2 linked regions of the Saccharomyces cerevisiae S288C genome follow. Changing the gene in region 1 together with any one later gene gives a genetic interaction. Each region holds a gene or a part of one and is shown on either strand. Other genes may lie near its edges.

What was found.
Region 2: mutations in FEX1 (region 1) and HOB2 together harm fitness more than expected from each alone (negative genetic interaction), as found in Saccharomyces cerevisiae (2 studies listed by BioGRID).

The regions. Positions count from the first base shown.
Region 1 is NC_001147.6:1,074,958-1,078,470, reverse strand, and holds FEX1 (fluoride transporter), read right to left. Parts: upstream 1,688-3,513; coding exon 560-1,687; downstream 1-559. Other genes in the region: YOR389W (uncharacterized protein), read right to left, coding at 2,384-3,513. UniProt on the Saccharomyces cerevisiae protein: Fluoride channel required for the rapid expulsion of cytoplasmic fluoride.
Region 2 is NC_001148.4:758,177-766,325, reverse strand, and holds the start of HOB2 (Hob2p), read right to left. Parts: upstream 6,302-8,149; coding exon 1-6,301. Other genes in the region: RRG8 (Rrg8p), read right to left, coding at 6,845-7,678. UniProt on the Saccharomyces cerevisiae protein: Tube-forming lipid transport protein which may bind to phosphatidylinositols and may affect phosphatidylinositol-4,5-bisphosphate (PtdIns-4,5-P2) distribution.

The sequences.
Region 1 (3,513 bases):
TCAATGGTTCGAAAGGTAAAGAAAACGGCAGGTCGGTAGCACTCGATTTTGCTAGAATGGAAATCATATAGAGAACAATTGAATAGTAGGCCTTGGTTTTTAGTGTTGTATTCATCATGGTCATATGTGACATAGGTAATGTACATATATATATAAAAAAAAAAAAAAGCAATGCTGTGAGATCATTCGTTACTTACGAAATACGCAGATTGCAATTTGAAATAAGCTGTGTTTTCTTTTTTTTCCTTTTTTTTTCTTTTTTTTGGCTTGTTATATACAACTTTTTTCTATTTCTGTTCTTTTTATGAGTAATTAATTGGTACATGGGAAATAAATATGAATTATATTAAATGAAGTAAAAGTAAAAGAAAACGGGGAAATTTATCGTTTTGTAGTAAATAGATGATGGAACGCATTCATAAAATCTCACAAAATATTACAATAAACCGCAGTAGTGGGTAAAAATGTATTATACAACGTCTAAAATCTTGAAAATGAATTAAAAAAAAAAAAAAAAAAAGTGGGATGATTATGCAGGGAAAAGTATAAAGAAAAGATCCTAACAAATCGGGTTGGTCAATCCTCTAGTCCAAGCATAGGATCCGAGAGTTATCACCAATAAGCAATATGAAATTGCAATCGAAACAGTATAATAAATAAGCATGTTAATAAATGATAGCTTATACCCTTCATTGATAAACGTGCTAATGGTACTCAAAGTGCCGCAAAATCCGGATATTAACGCAGAAACAATATGACATGAATTCAACGAGTTCACAATTGGAACGTCCGTAGAAAAGTGTTTTTTACCACGTTGCACCATGGTAAATATGCCAATCAATAAAGTGGCGAAAACGTTTGCCAAGAAAGTACCCAATGGAAACTTTTTGTTTGTTTTATTAAACATTTCTGCCAACCAATATCTTAGGAAACCAGCGAAAATTCCAAATAGACATGGTAGTGTCCACTTGCCCCTCGAATAGTTCTCATAATACGCACACAGCACCACAAACAAAATAATTAATGGAAAAGCTAGTGCATACGCGAGTTTATCCACAATATCAAAAAATTTCTTAAAAAATGGTGCTGGAGTTTTGAATTTAAACTCTAGAATATTTTTTTCCATTTCTTGTGTATCAACATCACCAGCATTTTCCTTTACAGTGTCTGAGGGAGGGGTATATGGCTTCGAAAACGAACTAGATCCATAAGCAACAATAACCTCCTTACCAAGTTGCCTACCGAAAATAAGACTACCCATGGAAACCATAAGATGAACGAGCAAGACAGATAAAAACTCCATTATACCGTAAGCTCTGTTCGGCAGTTTTGTGTGGTTAGCGATATTACCGTTAGTTAAGTTTGTAGAGTGTTCGAACATCTCTAGCAGCATACTAGAAAAGGAAGACAGGGCACCACAGTACCCAGTAGTTACACCTAAAAACAAGACTTGGTGATCTTTCATCCAAGTGTAAGCATTTAAAGATTGCATAATCCCCATTAGCATGCAGGATGAACAATTAGACCAGAGAACGGTCGGAGCAGTAACGAAGGCCGGAGTGTAGGTGGAAAGCGCCGTTATAGCCTGACGTGTTTCAGTACCTAATATGCAGAACGTGGTGAATGTACAAAAAACATGAATATAATGGCTCAACTTGTGATTTGATATGACCGGATTGAAAATCATCAGAGCATTACACGCTCGATTAAATAATTAAATAACTGCAGATTCTTGAGCCACCAGAGGCTAAATAATAATGGCGGCAATAAATATAATCCATTAGTACTTATTTCAGTTGTTTTTTGTTTTATTTTTTCCGTATCTCTTCTGTATCTCTTCCATCATTGCGTCAAAAGTGATTTACACTTCTACATGAATCGCGCCACTTTATGTCAGTGAATCTTTCATACATCGCAACTCCTCACTGACAGTGACTCTAGCATAGTCACCATCTTTCGATATACCCATCAAAGTGCACGATTCTCCTCCCCTGTTATACAATCGTAACGTAATATTGACATGTATTCGTAGCTCCGCTGCCAACTAATTTTCAGATCGTTCATTGTACATAAACCAAGCGCTGTTGCTTTACTTTATGATATTGCTGCTGAGCTCCCTTGTCTTTCATACGACGTTTTATCTTGATTTCATATCTTTTTTTTTTGGTAAAATAGAAAATACTCAACAGATATCTGATATGTATATAAACACTAAATAAAGAAAATCTTAAATCTTGCTGGCATGACTGTCGCTGTGTCTCAAATCTCTTAGTAATTCATAGATGTGTATCACCCCAAATCTCAAAAACTTCATAATCATTATTAGATTATCTAGAAATCATACCCTTTATACTGTCCCACAATGGCCTTCTCACAGGAGGCGCTAATGATTACGATTAACCATCAAATCATTTATATTGATACACTGTAGTTTACTGTTAATAACCAACCTTTGTCGAGATTCATCAAAGTGGGTTCCAAATCCCTCATTGTGGGAACCTGGTTCAGTCATACCCATTGGAGATGGGCCCCAGGAAGGAGTGTAACAAACTTCATCCCAATTGCATTGTCTCTCACAACGGTAATTTAGTTCAATCCACCCTAGAGATTCAATTAAACCATCGATAGTGGAGCGAGCCGTTTCGACATTCTTTATTAAGTCGCTGGAAGTTGTGTTATCTGTCATAAAAGAGTAGACTTCGGGTATCAATAAATCATTCACTTTATAAATGGCATCAACAATTTCTCCGACCACGCTGACAGCAGATGACCAAATCAAAAAGTCTGCATCCGTTTTTAAGGCCTGGTATGGGCTCACATATTGGTAGACAGCAAAGTCTTTCCCGCTACCGAATTCATCACTGTTGTTGCTTGCAGGCTCAAACCTTAAACAAAAGTTCAATGTGAGTGCTGTTGCATTGATGGCAATTGACTCATTAATATCACCATTGCTGTTCAGTATGTTACTAACAGATTTTAGTAATGGAGCAAATTTAAGGACAAGCTCATCAAATGCTAACTGCCAATCCATACTTTGCGTGGCATCAAATCCGACTTCCAGAGCCTTTTCTAAGTCATCTACCATGTCCAATTGCTTTTCCCATGTCATTCCTTCATCGAGTAATCTTCTGTTGTTAGGATCAGGAGCAATGTAAGTCCTGTTTATCCCGCTCACTAGGTACCTATAGTCGATATGGATTCGATGCTCCCCGTTGTCATGCGCTGTACCCGCTCTCAACTGATTGAAGCTCTTAACTGCGTTGAAATTAGAAAAAGTCTTCTCCCAACCATCTTCTCTTTCCAGAATCGCCTTTTGGTCATCTGTTAGCTGATCTTCAACTAGGTTTCCATTTTCATCCAGAGGCCAACCTTCCTCTTTCGATATAACGGTAGGTGCTGGTAAGCCTAGGTACTGGTTAGGCTGGACCATTTCTAACATTGAAACAAGTTCGACGTTATCAGCCGAAAAATCACACAAAACGACCTCAAAGCCAACCTCTACCCTGATAATTC
Region 2 (8,149 bases), on another chromosome or scaffold:
TGATTGCCGTCATAAGTAACGTCAACTTCAACGTACTAGTTTGAATATCGAAGGTTAGCTCTTGTCCTGATTTCATAAACAATCTTGGCTCGTGAAGTTTGAGGTATGCTCGCGTATAATAGAGTTCCTTTATTCTTTCTTGTAATGCTGTGACAACAGAGACATCAAGATTTTCCAGGTTATTTCTGACCTCATCAGTAAATAATATCCTGGAAAGTTTCTCAACTTTTTCATCCAATGATGATCCAAAGGAAAGTAAATCTTCTGCGATTGCATATACAGCGCAGTATTGTTGACAGTCCGAGGTCAGAACCAATCCTGGAAATGCAATACGAAATCTCGAATCATAAGAGAATGCAGACGTATCATTTGCACTAAAAAATAGGGGATTGGGAGCGACGTAGGTCAAAAACATTGATCTCCGTTTTAGAAAAACATGCTTATCTAATAAAGACCCGTCAAAGCACATTTCAAGAGGAATCCATGGGGGCCATATATCTGACTCTTTGTCGGAACCATATCCATTTTTATGGAAAAATCTACCTTCAGGACCCTCTAAATCCTTTTTGAACAATGTAAACAACTGAATGTCCTTTGAAACAGCGGAATAGCGAGTTTCAACAATAGTATCGACGTCAACGGGAATTCTTTTTCCTGATTTTCCATACACTTGAACTATATCAATTATTCCCATTTCTATATCCCTAGCAGCTAAAATAACTGCTGCGTTCCTTTCAACGTCCGATTTGATCTGAACCTGAGGGGAGATTAGTCTAAAAAGATAATTATCAACATAATCAAAGTCATCACTCGGAACTTCTCTGATGAGTTTCTCAAAGTGCTCAATAAATTCTGAATTACTGGCTAAATCGTCCTCAAGTATTGAACCATAATCTTCTACAGATGTTCTGACCCCAGTCAACACATTTCCCAGTAATTCTTTTAAAATAGTTACGGATTTATAAGTCACAGCAAACCTCATAGATTTCCTTTCGAAAGCACTGGAAGCGTATTCCAAAAGGTGATGCCTGATTTTATTATCGATTTTTAACTCGATATTATGGACCATGAAACGGTTATCATAGGTGGACTCAACCTGCATAGTAGAGGCTTTTCTCATTGATACAAAAGACTCCACGGTATTGGTCCTCAATAGCGATATTCTATTTTGAATTGGCGGTGCATTTTCCAAATTTACATCAGTATCGGAGAGTGAGCTGGAGCTATCACCATCAGTATTTCCTCCAGGAATAGTCTCCGAGATTTTTAAATCGCTCAAGATGGTGTTGACTGTGTGCAATCTGTGGTTTAATTCAGCTACCTCTGCTTTTAATTCGCGTGCATAGCGCTCCGAATTTCCACTTACCGAACCTCCGCCTTTGTTCGATTGCAATTCGCTTAACGTAATATGTAATAATTTTAGTTGTTCTTCTATTTCTCGTTTTCTTTCAGTTGCTAATTTCTCCTGCGTCAATTCTGGATGATTCTTGCCAATCAGACAATTGTGAGATTCTTCGGTACCAAATGGGTAAGCTAGTACGTAACCATCATCATTTATTTTTCTAAAGTAGGATATTCTAGGAGAGTATAGCAATGGTATTGCTTCTAATTTTAATGGAAGTGAGGAACCAAGCGGCACTTGATTCAAGTCTATATAATCCTCATAATCATACCAATCTGATTCACGCAAGTATTCCACATCTTGAGGCGTAATAGGACGTGATGGCTCGTCTTCAAGTATGCCATCGAGTCCAGAAGTAAGAATTTCCTTAACTGCTTCCTGATCAAACAGAGTTGATAATATCCTAATATCTGCTTCTGCACAATCAATCTCACCCCTAGACATCTTAAACTTCCATACAGGTTTTGACTTATTTAATTTTTGGTTCGTATGGGTCAGTTTAACTCTTTTTTGATGCAAATCAATTTTCAGTGAATCAAACCTCCCTTTCAATCCAGTAAAAGTTATTTTGCGGTCTTTTTCAAGATCATATTGAGTAGTAATATGCCGATAAATATGCGTAACCATTAGCCGTTTTAAATGTAGCTGATAAGCTATTGTAAATAATGAGCGACCAAACTTTGTCTTGTTTTGAAGTACATCCGTAAATAACCGTCCTTGCCTAATAGGACCAGATGTATATGTATGAAATAAATTCCACCACTTAAAGAAATGTGTTAAAGCGTAAGGTGCGAGATAGAGACTATTTATGGATCCGTGCTCAGAAGAATAGACACCAAATGACATGTGGATAAAAGATGTTCTAAATCCTTTGTATGTATCATGGTGATCCAAATCTGCGACTCCATCTGGATTCATCAGCTGTATTTCATAATGTGGCCTATTTGGAAGGAACCTCTCTTCGTCACCAGCCTTAGATATATCGCCTTGTTCAAAAAGTAAACCTAATGTCCAAATTACTCTTCCATCGAGCTTCATAAAGACTTTATCAAATTTACTAACTTTGGCAAAGTCTGGCACTGCCAACTGAAACCTTTGGGATTCAATTTTTAAAAACTCTTTAGGATCCGTGGAGTTATGAACGTAAATTGTGGTGCCACCAGACCAGCAGAACGCCAGACCCGCACCATCATCTGTAATCTTATAAGGATCATGTGAACCTTTAATATTTAAGTGGATCTCACTTTCCTCTGAAAACTCGTATATCCACTTCCCATGCACTAAATATCTGAATTTGTCCCAAAATCCTAGCTTTTTGGACGGATCGATGAGAGGTTTGGTTAAAAAATCAAACCAAAGCATCAAAGACTCATAACCGGGTTGCAGAGATTTCCCCCATGTTATTCTGGCAGATGAAGAAGATGTAACCATTGACCTAATATTGAAATATGTTTTGACTGAATTAATTGTACGAATGATGTGCAAACCATATATTGTATTGGCGTCATTATAGGGGCTTCTTTGGGCAGAGCTGACAAAAGGAACATAAACAGTATGAAGCGCGCAAGGTGCTGGCATCTTTTCAGCAAATACAACATCACCTGTTGTAAATGTGTCGGGAAATGATATAGCAGGTATTGGATAATCTCTCAGACGCAACTCCCATAACGCGCTTTTGATTTTGAGGCCAAGAATAATTAGCAAAGTGTACTCCGTAGATTTTGGAACTTTTTTTCCATACTGGTAAACAAAATCCATATAATTGTCTAAAGGGAAGGAAGGACTGCCTAGTTTAAAATCCAAATCTTTTACGACGAGGTTAGCAACAGTACTGGTTTTCTGTCTAGTAAACAAGTGGTATTTCGTACCAAGCTCTTCACGGCTGATAACCCGATAAGGCATACCATAAAAAGAAAGTTTTGCTTTCCTGTATCTGGCAATCCATGACGTTGAAAAGTTTTCTAACAACCTGAGATAGGCCTTTTGCTCATATTCTTGATCATTCGCATAAAACTCTGGGAAAAAACTTTGTCCACGGGAGGTATCATAGAGCGACCTTAAACGTACATTCATGTCCTCATATGTTGATAGCTTTTCCTTGAACTCTTCAAGCTTCTTTAACCTCTCACGTTGTTCCAAAACACCAACTTTCAAAATTAATCCTAACTCCTGCTCAAAAGGATCTTCTTCAATATCAATTAGAAAATCCTGGCAACAAATATGTAAATTTGGAACTTTTTTCGGAAACTGTTGCTGAGGGTATAATCGCTTAAATTCATTCAAATTGGAAAATGCCAATTTAATTTGCTTAAACGATTTATACAACGTGACTATGTTATCCGTTATCATGTAAAATCTAAAATGATATTCGGCATGAAAATGAATCAATGAGGTGTTTATAACAGCGGATTTCTTGCAGATCAACTCTTCAGTGTCTAGCTCAAAGTCATTAATATTTAGCAAGGAAACATAAACCTTAATATGCTTCACATAAACCGATACCACGTACGCTGACAAAGATGCAATTGTAAGATTTTTAGTGGAACTTGAAAGTCCAATCCTCTCGAATATTAGGAGTACCTCTGTATTATGAGGAAGCGTTAGCTCTATAATCATCTTTCCTATATCTACTCTTAATCTATCGAGAACATTGACAGATTTTACACTGCTCACTGAATTTCGGCTCAATTTTGAATTAGGACGAAATTTTATCCATATACTCCGAATATAAAACCACAACCAGATAATATTTACATCCATCTTAAATTTAATCTTGGGAAGTGAAAAATGAATTTCATCTGAGTCGTTAAAACTCAATAACAAATTGGTAAATTGAATAATAACCTCAGGAGAGGGCTTATACGTAGTGCCATCCATGAAACGATATACGGATGCATCAATAATAGTGAAGTTTTTCTCCTGGCTGTCCGCTAACAATATTGATTCTGTAAAAACAACTTTGGCGCCTCTAGTTACGTCAGATAAGTTAAAATTCTCAGCTTCCACAGGATCCAAATTTTTCGGAAGAAACCCAGCGACCAGTAACGAACATGAAATATCCTTCATTCTAAGTTTCAATGACCAGTTAAATGTTTTCTTGGCTTCATTTAGGTCCCCCAATTTTCCACCATTCGCTTTATGAGCCGCATTCCTTTTTGTTCTGCTAGATATTAGCAAGTAAATTTTGTCAAAGGCGCGACTTAAAGTATGCAAAACTTCAATGTTCTCAAGACTAACGTACGAATGTCTTAGTGTAGACTGAACGATCAATTTAGAATTTGAAAATTCATCCAGAAATGTGTCTAATCTTTCAAAGCCACAGACTGGTATAGACACTGGGTTAGCGTCCTGCTCTGTTGGAATTCTCAGGTAAGAGAGTGATGTACCCACAATTTTAATATAGTTAGATAATTGATCAGATACTAGGGCTGTCTTCGCAAATGGCCAATCCGGACGTATTTGCATTACTTGTCCCTTTTTAGGAGTCATAGACAAGTTGTTACGGCTAAAGAGAGCATGTGTGCTGAAGACCTTAAACGTCACATTCTCCTCATCTGATATATGCAGCCTTGAAATAAAATTCGACATTAGTAGTTCAAAGTTAAAACTGGGCAATCGATCAATATCTAAATCTAAAATATTTAATGATCTGTCGTTTGTGTTAGTACATGATGAGGTCTCAGGGCTATCGAATTTGTCCACTAAATGAAGAACTTCCAGTACTTGATGTATAGTGAGGAATACTGAAGGATTTATAATGTTCAAAATGGAAGATACCTTCGTTCTCCGTAAAGGTACATTGTCAAGTAAAAATAGTAAAATATCTGACGTCAGTATGACATTTCCAAATGGAATTCTAACTGCTGTATTACCATCGATATCTACTACAACAGCATTTGCAGAAAGTGATAGTTCAAAATCGCCCCATGTGGGCTTATTTAAGGGTAAAAGTTCCAAAGCGGAGACATTATTTAGAATGGAGATTGATTCCAAGTAAAGTTGAGCACTTGATATGCGAATTGTAAACTTTTTTTTGTAAATCAACTTTACATTTTCTACCTTAAGGTCCAGAATGTTCAAAGTTTTCAGTGGGTAGTGAAAAGGCTTTAGCATCTTACGATATGAAGTGAGCATTTCCGCATCATCACCAGCAGAAAAAGGCTCAACAGGCTCCGAATGCAAATTCTTCCCTTTCTTCTCTGGAAGATGCCAACAAACATCACTTATTTTGAGACTTGATTTCCAATTTTTTAGTATAACTTTTGTGCAGTTGCTGCCTGTATCATCTTCCTTTCCAATTTTACAGACCATAAAAAAACCAGTATGGTTCAAAGTATCTTTCGTTTCAGGATGGGTAAAATCATGCAAAAATGCCTCTAACTTTATGGTATCATCGTGTGGGTGTGATATCGTTATGGATCCGATATTTAATTTATATTGTTTTCCATTAGGCACTGTAAGAGCTAAAGTATGAAAGAAAGTGGAAAATGAGAACACAAGTTTCAAAATTGATAGGACTCGCCTGTTAATTACAAAGGTAAAAGTTTGATCCCGCGGATTGAAATATGTTCTGGAGTCTTTAGTTGAATGTGCAGTGATATGGCTGTCCTTCCCAAATAACTTCAAATCAACATTATGAAACACAATTCCGGGTTTCCAACCTATTCGCAAGGTTATCTTGCCAATATATATTTGAGCAAAATCAGTTAAGATAAACGCTCGTCTTATTGACGTACCAAAAAAGTATCCAAATGAAATTTTTCGTATTGTGGAATGGCGCAGCATCAATATCCATGACATGAGAATACTAGCGATTTTCTGAATTGATATAATAAAAAGCATAAAGCCTAATAATAGTTTAGACACATCCCTTATTTGAGACCACGGTAACATAGACATTGTAGATTTTTTTTCTTGCAATAAACAGGATACTCCAGCTACTAGATATTATGGATGACAAGCCTACTCGAGAAATTGATCAGCAAAACTAAATTGAATGCTTAGCTTTTAAATGTAAGCCTTTTCGTGGGAAAAAGTGTATGATTTAGTTTTCAAAGAAGTACCTTCTATAATGGTAAATTATTGGTTGTGCTCTTGAATATAATGCATGTGTATGCCCTTGAAGTTTTTAATACAAAGCCACTAGTGCAAACAAATCAACAAATCTATTTACCCTTAATGTTCCTCTTTATCAATCATACAGCCTTGCAGATGGATGGTAAGTGATGGACTATAGAACACCTCAGAGATATTTTACGTAGATGTGCGGGATTAAGGGTTCTGAATTCTCCTGCCCGAGGCGCCCAAATTTTTCATTTTCGGATTGCAAAATGATGCCATTCGCTGACAGCCAGTTTTGTATTCATTGAATAAGAATAATGGCAAATTCAGAGAGACAATTCCAGCGATATATCCCGCTTTCCTTCCTTTTTTCTTCCGCAATCAGTTAACTGAATGAAACAATAATGTACTATAAAGGTGTTTGATGAGATCCTTGTCATTGTCGGCATCCAGGTAAATTCCATTAGTAACTGCATCTTTACTCACGATAGCTTCTAGAGTTGGCTCGTGGAGATAACCAAGGTTAAAGACAGACTGTGTAATTGGTAGCCCTTTACCATGACTAACTACTTGTATTTCAATCGGGGGTGTTTTTCTCTTGTCACAAATGAGTAAAACACGATTTATCGAAGAAGGTCCAACATTCGGTATCACTGAAAGTCTTGCTTTTATAAATGCGTGCAAGTTAGCATTGTATTCCGTTATAAATGTAGAGGAATCAACTTCTAGGCTCTTTGGAGTTGATGTTTGCAATACCGAGATTGGGAACCATGACGTCGCAGCCGCCAAGTTGTCTTGTACAATGGAGGCTGAATTCAATACGTACGAGCTTTTGTATGATTTGGAATAATCTAGTGTAGGTACCAGTTTTAGTTTATCTTTATCAGCATGCTGATCTTTGCCAGTTGATGGTACCACTTTCAATGGAATTAGTAATTCTCTACACGATTTTAATTTTGAGATTTTTTCTGCTCTCATTGGAGAAGCTAAAAGCCTACCATATAAGTTATTTTTTAAATTGAAATTTTCCAAATGGAACTGCCCCACCATTTCCTCTTCATCTTTGAAATAGAGCTTCTTGCGCTTATCCGACCATTTCTCGAAGTTTGTAATGAGCGGAGAAACATCTTTGACTCGTTGGGCACAGTTTTTATTAATGACTCTCGTTGGACAATCTATGAGTAACTTCTTATATGCCGATTTAGGTAAACCCATATTTGATTTTGAGAGGTTCCCAGGAGAATTCACAACAAAATATTATTCGAAGGCTCCTATCGTCATCATGTACCGTGGCGCATTGCCAACCTGTCTTATAGAAAGGCCGATGTCGTAAGCGGACCGGAAAACTGGAGATGAACAGGCATTGCCAATCCTACCGCCACTGTAAAAAACAAGTAAGAAAAAGATAATTATGGACGCTGGCTTTCATTTTAAAATAACATCAAGTTCAGATGATACTTCTGAAAAATACCCAATCAGGAATCTATTTTTATTTGGTAGAAGACTACTTTGTTTACTTATAAAAACATGATAACTATCTAAGAATATATGAACTGATTGCGTTTAACTTAACTTTTCCATTTTGTCTTAATCTTCTTCGTTTCCGGTAGTTAATGGGTTTGTATTTTCAGCAGGAACATGACCCAGGACTTTCTTGTTGCTTATTACACTTATCAAGGAACCAAA